2 linked regions of the Caenorhabditis elegans genome follow. The protein of the gene in region 1 interacts with the protein of each later gene in a pairwise test. Each region holds a gene or a part of one and is shown in the gene's direction. Other genes may lie near its edges. The genes, in order: unc-34 and sut-1.

What was found.
Region 2: the proteins of unc-34 (region 1) and sut-1 interact in a two-hybrid assay, tested with the Caenorhabditis elegans proteins (one study listed by BioGRID).

The regions. Positions count from the first base shown.
Region 1 is NC_003283.11:980,822-986,013, forward strand, and holds the start of unc-34 (WH1 domain-containing protein), read left to right. Parts: upstream 1-1,884; coding exon 1,885-1,889; intron 1,890-1,989; exon of another isoform or gene 1,990-2,085; intron 2,086-4,274; coding exon 4,275-4,654; intron 4,655-5,192.
Region 2 is NC_003280.10:1,120,401-1,125,402, reverse strand, and holds sut-1 (SUppressor of Tau pathology), read left to right. Parts: upstream 1-2,137; 5' UTR 2,138-2,149; coding exon 2,150-2,170; intron 2,171-2,230; coding exon 2,231-2,304; intron 2,305-2,354; coding exon 2,355-2,439; intron 2,440-2,536; coding exon 2,537-2,735; intron 2,736-3,597; coding exon 3,598-3,815; intron 3,816-4,214; coding exon 4,215-4,325; 3' UTR 4,326-4,390; downstream 4,391-5,002. Other genes in the region: eri-3 (Reverse transcriptase domain-containing protein), read right to left, coding at 19-363, 944-1,125, 1,297-1,468, 1,643-1,716, 1,762-1,867.

The DNA.
Region 1 (5,192 bases):
TACGCATTCTCAGTTTCAGACTAATGGGGCCATTTTTCGATGTATCGTTTTTTGTTTCAGGGGGGGGGGGGGGGGGGGGGGGGAAATCAAGAAATCGGAAAAAAAAAGTTCAGAAAATTGAATTTTTTCAACAAATTGAATTTTTGTTCATGTCGATGAAAAAACAAAAAAACAAAAATTTTAAGATACTTTTTGAAAAATCAAAACATTTTTCTACATAGCTGAAAAACGAAATTATAGGGGTTTTCAACTCAAAACTTCCTGGGCTTTTTCGGCCATTTCGTGTCTTCGTGCGCCTTTAAACTACAGTGTTTTTTTCAAACTTAAAAATTTGAATAAATATATTGCCCACGCAAATGTATATTGAACACACTGCATGTTTGCACTTTGTTCGTCATACAGAAAGTGAGACGACGACGACAATGAGTCATTCACTTTTTTATGACAATTCGAAATCTAATCTCTTGTGTCTCGAAGCGATTTCCTTAGAAGTTTTAATTTAAGAAACTACCTTTTATTGTTGTTTAAAAAACCATGATCCCCCCCCCGTGCAACTCGTTTCCGGAAACGGTCTCCATCAGCCTGTGTTTCGTCACTCTCACCCCTTCCCCATTTTTTGTTCCCACTCGGAAACTCTTTCTCTCTCTCGGGTTTCTCACTGTAACGATGGCCGGCACAACAGACAATGAATTTTGATATTTTTGTGTTTTCTGTTTGCACAGTTATTAGAGCATTTTCCATTTTTTTCGCGGGGTTTTCACAGTTTTTTTTGTTTGAAAATTAAAACAAAAATCATGAGTTCAATCAAAAATAATTATTTAGTTTTTCAATTATAAACGAATTTGGCAAATTTTTACAATGTTTTCCATTGATGGGCAATATTTTTTTAATGAAAAAAACCTACAAAAATACCAAAAATTTGAATCAAAAAAGTAATTTTTGATTCATTGCACACTTTTGAGCTCAAAGCAAAAACAGCACTTTTTTTTTCAAAAATTTTACCAAATTTTGAAAATAATTTTTTACGGATTTTTAGGTGTCAAAAAGTGTTTGAAAAAACCAAAATTTCTCAATTTTTGAAAAAAAATTGTTCAAAAAATATATTTTTTCGATTTTCAGAAATTTCTTTTTAAAAAAATCGATATCACACTTTGCTGAAAAAATATTTGCAAAATCTGTAAAAAAAAAATACAAAAAAACTTTTTTAAAACAAAATTTTTCCCAATTCTAGAAAAAAATCATTAATTCCGACCAACGAAAAATCGATAATTTTTCGATTTTTTTTCAAATAATTCCAAAAAAAATTTCTCGATTATCCTAAAAATCTTAAAAATCGATTTTTTTTAAATTGATTTTTTTAAAAATTTTCTAAAAAAAAATTTCCCGCTTTTTGAAAAAAATTCAAAAATTCTTTAACAAATGTTTTCTCCGATTTTCTGAAATTTTGAAAAAAAAACTAGATTTCTCGAAAAATAGCTTCAAATTTGTCCATTTTCCTCTTTTTTCCTCTTTTTAGAGATCAAAATGAACAAAATTTAATAAAAAGTTTAAACGATTTTTCCAAGGTTTTCCAGAAAATCGAAAATTCAATTTTCTGAAAAATCGATTTTTTCCCCTCCCCGAACATTTTTCCCTATAAATCTCGTTCTTTTTTTCGTCATAAAAAATGCATATTTTTCTGTTTTTTCCCTTCTCACATTCTCATTTTTCAGCCAAACCTCCACCAAAAAACTTCAAAATTTTTGCCGTTGCATTTCGAATGCGTGAAACACTGACCGATTGCTGTTGCTGCTGCTGTTGACAAGACACAAAATCTGCCGTAAAAGTGCACTTTTTTGAGCAAAAAGAGCAAAAGGAGATTAGATTGCACTTTTTTGAGCCAGAATGAGGTAATAATGACTATGGAGATGGGGAACTTTTTATGGGAAAATTTGAAAAAAAATTGAAAAAAAAAACCAAAAAATTGGCCTAAAAATTGCAAAAGTTCGGCCACGAGCTTGTGTCGATTTACGCAGCTCGTGTACTTCCCGAGGAAAAGTGTGAATTTTATGTTTTAGGCCAGTTTTTGGCGCTAAAATACTTGATTTTTGACCATTTTCGCTAAATTTTGATCGTTTTCACGTATTTTCGTTGTTTTCAGCATAAAATTATAAAAATTTTGAACAAAATACTATGAGTTATTGATAAAATCGCGAATTGAGTGTAAAAAAAATTTTCAAAAATCGATATTCTCCTCGTGGAGTACACGAGCTCCGTAAATCGACACAGAGGAGCATTTTTTTTCAGAAAAAAATTTGCATGCTCCTCGGGGAGTACACGAGTTATAAAATTTATTTGCCAATTTTTTCGTGCTGGGACCTAATAGGAATGCTCCTTTGAATGCAGACAATTGAAAAAAAACTGTTTTTAGCAGAATTCCCTTCAAAATGAAACCAACGACCAATCAGCGATTCGCACCGCCCACTTTCTAACCAATCAGTAGCTACAAGCATTCTGATTGGTTCAAAAGTGGGCGGAGCGGTTCGCTGATTGGTCGCTGTTCTCATTTTGAAGGGAATTCAGTTTGAGACTATTTTGGGGTTTTTTGAAGCGAAATTTTCATTCACGCTACTCTCCGCACGGATTTCTGGCTTCCCTCATAAATTGAAATGGAAGAGTTTTCCGAACTAGGCCATTTTGGCTCGGCCATATCTGGGGTAGATTTACGGCGCGTTGCGTGTCTCGTTGCGGCTCGATTTTAGTTGTAAAGCTAAATGTATTTGTCCGTGTGGAGTACACGACACTTTTCCACGCGTTGTCCGGCGGACGATTGTCAATGTAGCGCGAAAAATTCAATGAGCAAGGCCAGAACCCCCGTGTCTCCGCGATCTACCACCCAGCAAAAATCCATTTTTTGACTGATTCACAGCGTCTGACTGTAATGTTGACACTGAAGCTCTCTAATGTTTTTTTTGTGTGTGTGTGAGGTGATGCTGTGTGTTCCTATTTGCACAAATACCTAGTGTCCAGCAGAAGGAAGAGAACTGGATGAGCAGTGAAAAGAGCCCGTGCCAATTGCTGCCACTTATCATGTCCGGCTCGACCTCCGAGAGAGGGACGAGACTAAAATTAAATGAAATGAGAAACAATAAAAATTGAGTGGAAATTTAGAGAGTGATTGGATTTTTTTTGTAAAGTGGTGTAGTCGATTTTTTTTTATTGCTTTATTAGACTCAAATGTTTGTTTGAAAACACCGATTTTTTAAATGAAACTTCTTGAAAACTTCTCCAAAAAAAAAGTTATGACCGCTCGAAAAATGACCTAAAATTAGTTGAAATTTGAAATTTGAAAAATGCCGCAGCGGCTGGAAACAATATTTTGGAAAACTCCCGACTTTATTATACCTAAATGAAGTTGAAAATGCAAGATAATTGAATTGCATACTCAAAATTTGAAGGTGATTTCGAAAAAGTTAGTTTCCAGTCGCTGTGACAAGTCAAATTTCGAATTTCAACTAATTTTAGGTCACTTTTCAAGCCGCCATAACTTTTTTTTGAGAAGTTTCATTATAAAATTCGGTGTTTTCAAACAATTTTGAGTCTAATAAAGCAATAACAAATTTCGTCTGCAACACCACCTTTAATCAGATACCATTATTTAAAGTTTCGAAAATCTAGTAGGTTCGCATATATAAGTGGTCGGTTCTATTACATCTGAAAGAGCTCAAAATTCGCAACTTGTGCAAAAAGTTGATCCGAACCTTTTTTAAAAGATGACAAAAATCTCATTTTTTACCTTCTTCAATTTCGCCAACTTTCGAATTATCGAAAATATTCTCAAATTCCCTGAGAATGTCATATTATTAAATTGCGAGTGAAAAAAGTTACAATTCCACAAAAACCGCATTTACTATGATGATAGAAATTACTTTTTCACACTTTTTACCTCGATATTAGTCGAATTGCCAAACATTTTCGATTTCCGGCCACCGAAAAAAAACCAACTTTTTCTTGTCATTTTTGAAACAAGTATATTTTGAAAAAATGATTTTTAGTGCAATCATATTACATGTGCACGAAATTCGGAGAATGCGTAGTTTTTGTGTCGATATACGAGCTCGGTTCGATAAATCAATTAGTTTCGAGCCCGTAAATCGACACAAGCGCTACAGTAGTAATTAAAAAAATTACTGTGGTTTTCGGTACGAGATTTTTTGCGCGTCAAATATGTTGTGTAATACGCATTCTCAGAACTTAGTTTCATTTTTTCCCACCAAAAAATTCAAATTTTCCAGTAGCGAAGCATGTATCGCGACGGCAATGGCCCGAGTGATGACCTACAACGAATCGACAAAAGGATGGGTACTACTCGGCGGAAATGATGATTCAATGACAAATGTTCGCCTAATCCAAGACATTCGGCGACCCGAGTTTCGGATTGTATCCAACCGCGCTGACAGCACGAATATCTTGAATTGTAATATTTATCGAGGAATCAAATATCACAAGGCCACACCAATGTTTCATCAATGGCGTACCGAACAGCGGCGGGTGTATGGGCTGAATTTCGAGAATGAACAGGATGCGACAATGTTTTTAAGCATTGTGTTACAGGCGATTGAGACGTTGAAAGTTCATGATATGAATGGAATTAGTGATTATCAACAGATGCATCGTGCGTTTTTCAAATATAGCTTTCACACGACAAAAATCCCAAGATATAAAAAAACCTAACCAGAGATAAAAATCGAAAATAAAAAATTATCGATTTTCCGGAAAAACGAAGCATCATAACATTGTATAAAATTTATGTTTAGTTTTCATCAGAAACACATCAGAAAACGTATAATTTTTTTGCTCATTTTTCTACAATTTTTAATTTTCCGACACTACTTGAATAACCCCATAAATTATCAAAAAATCATCAAAAATATACAAAAAATACCCAAAAATATCGAAACTGTCAAGTGACTTTTTCAATAGAAAATGGGGTGCAGCACTATTTTTTGGACATTTTTTGAATGCAGCACTATTAGAGACTGCAGTACTACTGGATATGCAGCACTATTAGAGAATATACGGTATATATTTATTTATTTATTTATTTATGGTCTCCAAAAAACAAAAAGTTCTCTGTTTTTCTCTGAAAGTTCACAAAAAACTTATTTGTTATTAATTTTCAAAGATAACTTTCAAAATTCTATATAAAAACG
Region 2 (5,002 bases), on another chromosome or scaffold:
AATCACTAAAAAACGAACATTACACAGAGTGACGTCATAGCCATACCATTTGTATGATGACGTGGCAAATGTGGGGTCGGCAAGCACATTAATCAGTGAGCCAATGCTGACTTTTTCGAGAATATTCGAGTGGCAAGACGTCGAATCAAAGTAGATCGATTCGGAATTTTGCAGGAAATTCGCTTCCATAAAATGATTTTTCATAATTTTTGTGATGACAGCGGCGCCGGATCGGCCCGGCGAATTTCGGCACTTTTCAATGACGAAAAATGGGATTTTATCGACGTTTCCGTGGATTTCGACGCGGAATGGTACTGCCGCCAGGATAACGTCCACCATTCGATTCGTGTTCTCTCGGTGTCTCTGGAAAATTTGAATTTTTGGTGAAAATCCGCTTTTTTAGCCCAAAAATTCAAATTTCCCGCCGACCGCAAGCTGTAAATGCGCTCTATTGCAAATTTTGCATCGGAGCGCATCTGCAGCATGCGATCCGCGGGAAATTTGAAATTTCAGGTTTAAAACTGATATTTTGAACGAAAAAAGTGAATTTTGAGTAGAGATATTCTGTGTAAAGTAGTATTCTGACGGGAAATTTGAATTTTTGAGTTAAATTCTATCAATTTCAACCCAAAAATTCGAATTTCTCGCTGACCGCAAGCTGCAAATGCGCGCTAATGCAAAATTTGCATTGGAGCGCACTCGCAGCACGCGGTGGGTGGGAAATGTTTTTTTAAGTGGAGAATGCACGTTTTTCAGCCAAAATTAAATTTTTCTTCGAAGAAAATTGTTTTTAAAAAAATTTTTCAATGAAAAATCTAATTTTCGGCAATAATTTATTTAAAATTCACTTTTTCAATTAAAAATTCAAAGGCAAAACCCCGTTTTTTTCGCAATTTTCTCAATAGAGCACATTTTTTCCGTTGGAAAATTCAAATTCCCGTACATCTTTAATCTCGAATTCGGTGCGTCCAATGCTATGCGCCTTTAAGGTCTCGTAGCGAATAACAGGCGAGCAGTTCGGATGGAAAGCTACAGTAATATTTCGTTCGGTGACTCCAATTGCGACGCCAGCAGTCGACGGGGAGTTGAATGTGACGAAAACCTGCTCGCGGAGCATTGCACAACCTGAAAATTTGAATTTCTCATGATTTGTTCGGTGGAGCGAGCTTGCAGCATCCGGTCGGCGGGAAATTCAAATTTTTAGGTTATAAACTTGAATTTTCACCGAATTTTCGAATTTGCAAGTGTTTCAGGGTGAATTTTGGCGGGAAATTCGAATTTCCGGGTCAAACTTACACTTATAAACCTCCATTTTCTCGATTTGCACTATAATATGATTCCCGCGGACCACCCGTTCGAAGCTCCGGCTCCAGAAGATCTGAACGACGGATCCCACACCGATTGGGTCGAAATTTGACGGATATTGTATACACGTGGCTTTTGAGAAGATAAAATGAATGCCGGAATCCTGAAAATTGCGAGTTTTTAAATTTTTTGCAAAAAAAAAATTGGAAAATCATGGTTTTTTTTTCGATTTTTAACTGTTTTTTCGTCGTGTTTTTAAGGCAATTTTTGCGATTTTTATCAATAATTTGCATATTTTAGGACTCCAAATATCGATTTTCCCTGGAAATTCCCTTACATCAAACGCCTCCTGCGTAATAACCTCTCCGGTACCATTCGAATAGCATATTATGACACCAGACGAGCTTGAATCTGAATTTACAAGCTTTAAAATCAAATTTGGCACTAAAAACTCACAATTTGCGCCTTCAAACTGGTCTTCTTGCTCGATTAAATTGAGTTTTGACTCGGATTCGTGCGATTTCACCCGTAATGGTCGACTATTTACAAGAACGGGTTGCATACCTGAAGAAAAATCGGATTTTTAGGAATTTTTATTGATTTTAACAGAAAAAATCAGAAAAAACGGGAGAAAATGAATAAAAATAGCGAAAAAATCAGCGAAATTAATTCAAAAAATCGTGGTGGCCGAGTCTAAAGTCAAAATGGCCTAGAAAACCCCTCCTCGGCCACCATTTATTTTTTTGAAAAAAATTGTTTTTTATCGATTTTCGCCAGTTTTCCGTCGATTTTCTCCATTTTTTCTCATAAAATCTATAGAAAGTTATTTAAATTTCAGATAATTATGTCGGGAGCCTCGAAAAAAGTGAGTTTTTATCGTTTTTCAAGGATTTTTCGCAGAAAATCGATTTTTCTCTATTTCCAGGTATCAGAGGAAGAGTTGCAGAAGCAATACGCAGACTATCGAGCTCAATTCGAGCAGTGGAAGGAGAATAATAAGTGGGAAACTCGAGTTTCGGGGAAAAATTGCAAATTTGGATGATTTTCAGGGGTTCCATTGGCACGGAGGCTTATAATTCGTATGTACAGCAATTCGAGCAGTGGGAGAAAGAAGTGGAGGCGAGAACGTCACAGGTTCGTAAAAAAAACCTAAAAATTATAGAAAAATCTGGAAAAAAGACAATTTTTGACCCAAAAATGCTGAATTTACTTTAAAATGTTCAATTTTCAGCAACAAAAGCACCGAAAAGCGGCGGCAGTTGACAAGGAGGCAGAAGCGGCGGCGGCCGCCTACGCACAATCACAAGAAGCCTACATGGCACATCATTTGAGAGGAATGGAGCAGACGGAAATGCAGAAAAGAGCCGCTGCTGCAGCTCAGCTCCAGCAGCAACAAATGATGCAGAATATGATGATGCAGAGACCGCCACGTACGGTTTTTAACCGGAAAATTTGAATTTTTCGCTGAAATTTGCATTAGAGCGCATTTGGAACAGCCGAAATTCAAAATTCCGTAAAAATTTGACTTTTTCGCCGATATTTGCATTGGAGCGCCCTTGAAACACGGAGAAATTCAAAATTTTGTAAAAATTTGATTTTTCCACCAAAATTCGCATTGGAGCGCACTTGGAACATTCAATATTTCAAAATTTTATGAAAAGTTGAATTTTGAACCGAAAATCTCAGTTTTCCGCTACAATTCACACTAGAGCACATTTGCAGCACCGAAAAGTTCAATTTTTACGAAAAAATCGAATTTCCCGCTGAAATTAGCATTAGAGCGCACTTGAATCACTCGGAAATTCAAACTTTTGTTAAAATATAAACTTCCGCCTAAAATTTGCATTAGAGCGCACTTTAGACACTAGAAAATTCAAGAATTCTGTGAAAATTTAAATTATTATTTGAAATTTGCATTGGAGCGCACTTGAAACACTTGAAAATTCGAAATTTTGTGAAAATTTGAATTTTTCACCAAAATTCGCATTAGAGCGCACTTGAAACACTTGAAATTTCAAAACTTTAGAAAAATTTTGAATTTTCCGTTAAAATTTGTATTGTAGCGCATTTTAGACACTAGAAAATTCGAATTTCTCGCTAAAATTCGCATTAGAGCTGATTTGCAACACCGACAAATTCAATTTTTAGGAAAAATTCGAATTTACCGCCAAAATTCGCATTAGAGCGCACTTGAAACACTCAAAAATTCAAAATTGCCAAAAAATTCAAATTTCCCTCTAAAATTCGCATCAGAGCGCACTTGAAACACTCAAAAATTCAAATTTTTACCAGCAGAACACCAGCAACCACCGCCACAAGACGTGATGTTCGGAGCCGTAGGACGTGTAGCTCAGGGAGCTCCAGCCGCCGCACCACCGCCCACGCAACAACCACCACCACAACTATGGGGAAACAATAAGCCGATCTACGATGCGCGGGACCCACTTTTTGCGAAATGGGGTGAACGAGCGGCGTCGGCACACTGCAAACCGGAGACCGAGCAGCAAATTGTAGGGAATTTTTGGAAAATCCTGGAAAATCTGAAAAATAGCCCGAAAATATCTGAAAATCCCGAGAAAATGGCGTTTTTGAGGTGTTTTTGCCTATTAAAACACGAATTTTGACCCGTTTTTGACATTTTTTCTCAAAAAATGCGTTATTTTCCCCCAAAAGTTCAAAATTCCCGTTAAAATTCAAATTTTAGCCAGAAATTTGAATTTCCTAGCTAATGCAAATACGCTCTACTGATAATCTGTGACTTGTGTGCCTTTATCCTCATTGATGGCTAGAATATCGGTATTCTCGGCTGAAACATGCAATAAATACCGTATTCCAACCAACAATTTGTGCAATAGAGCACATTTGTCACTGGGGATGCGGAAGCTATGCCCAAATTTTGAATTTTTCAGAACCCGGTCGCCTGTTGGCTCCTTCTAGATGCTCTCCGCGAGAAGAAAATGGTCCTGGCTCCGCACTCGAACACGTGTCCTCCTCCACAAATCGGTGGACATCAAATTTGATAAATTTTGTACAATTAAATAAAAATATTTTTTTTTCACTTTTAATGAATTTTCAACAAATTCCACCGTTTTTTTTTTCGTTTTTTGGGGAGTTGATAGGCGTGTAGGCATGTAGGTAGGCTTGAGGTAGGCACGAGACAGGTGTGTAGGCAAAAATTTAGAGAATAGGCATGTATGCAGATAGGTAGGCATGATGTAGTTGTGTAGGCATCAGGTAAGAGTGTAGGCACGTTGGTTAGCATTAGGTAGGAGTGTATGCAGATATGTAGACATGATGTTAGCATGTAGGTATGAGGTAAAAGTGTAGGCGCGTAGGCAGGTATGCTGTAGGTAGGCAGGTAGGCGTGTAGGCATAAGCTAAGAGTGTAGGCACGTAGGTAGGGATGAGGTAGGTACGTCGGTTAGCATGAGAGAGGCATGTAGGCACGTAGGCACGTGACAGAGTAAGGATATTATAATTGAATCAAGGTGATGCTCTTTTTTTAGTAAAAGTGTGCACTTTTGGATTTTTAGGTAAAGCCATGTTTAGAAATTCATAAAAAAAAATTTCTGTCATTGCGTGGAATCGAACCCCAGACCCATTTCGTACCAGTCAGCCCTCTTACCAGTTGAGCCAAAAATTCAATTTTTCGGAAATTTTCAGAAAACTTAGAAAATCATTTTTATTCAGAATTCAG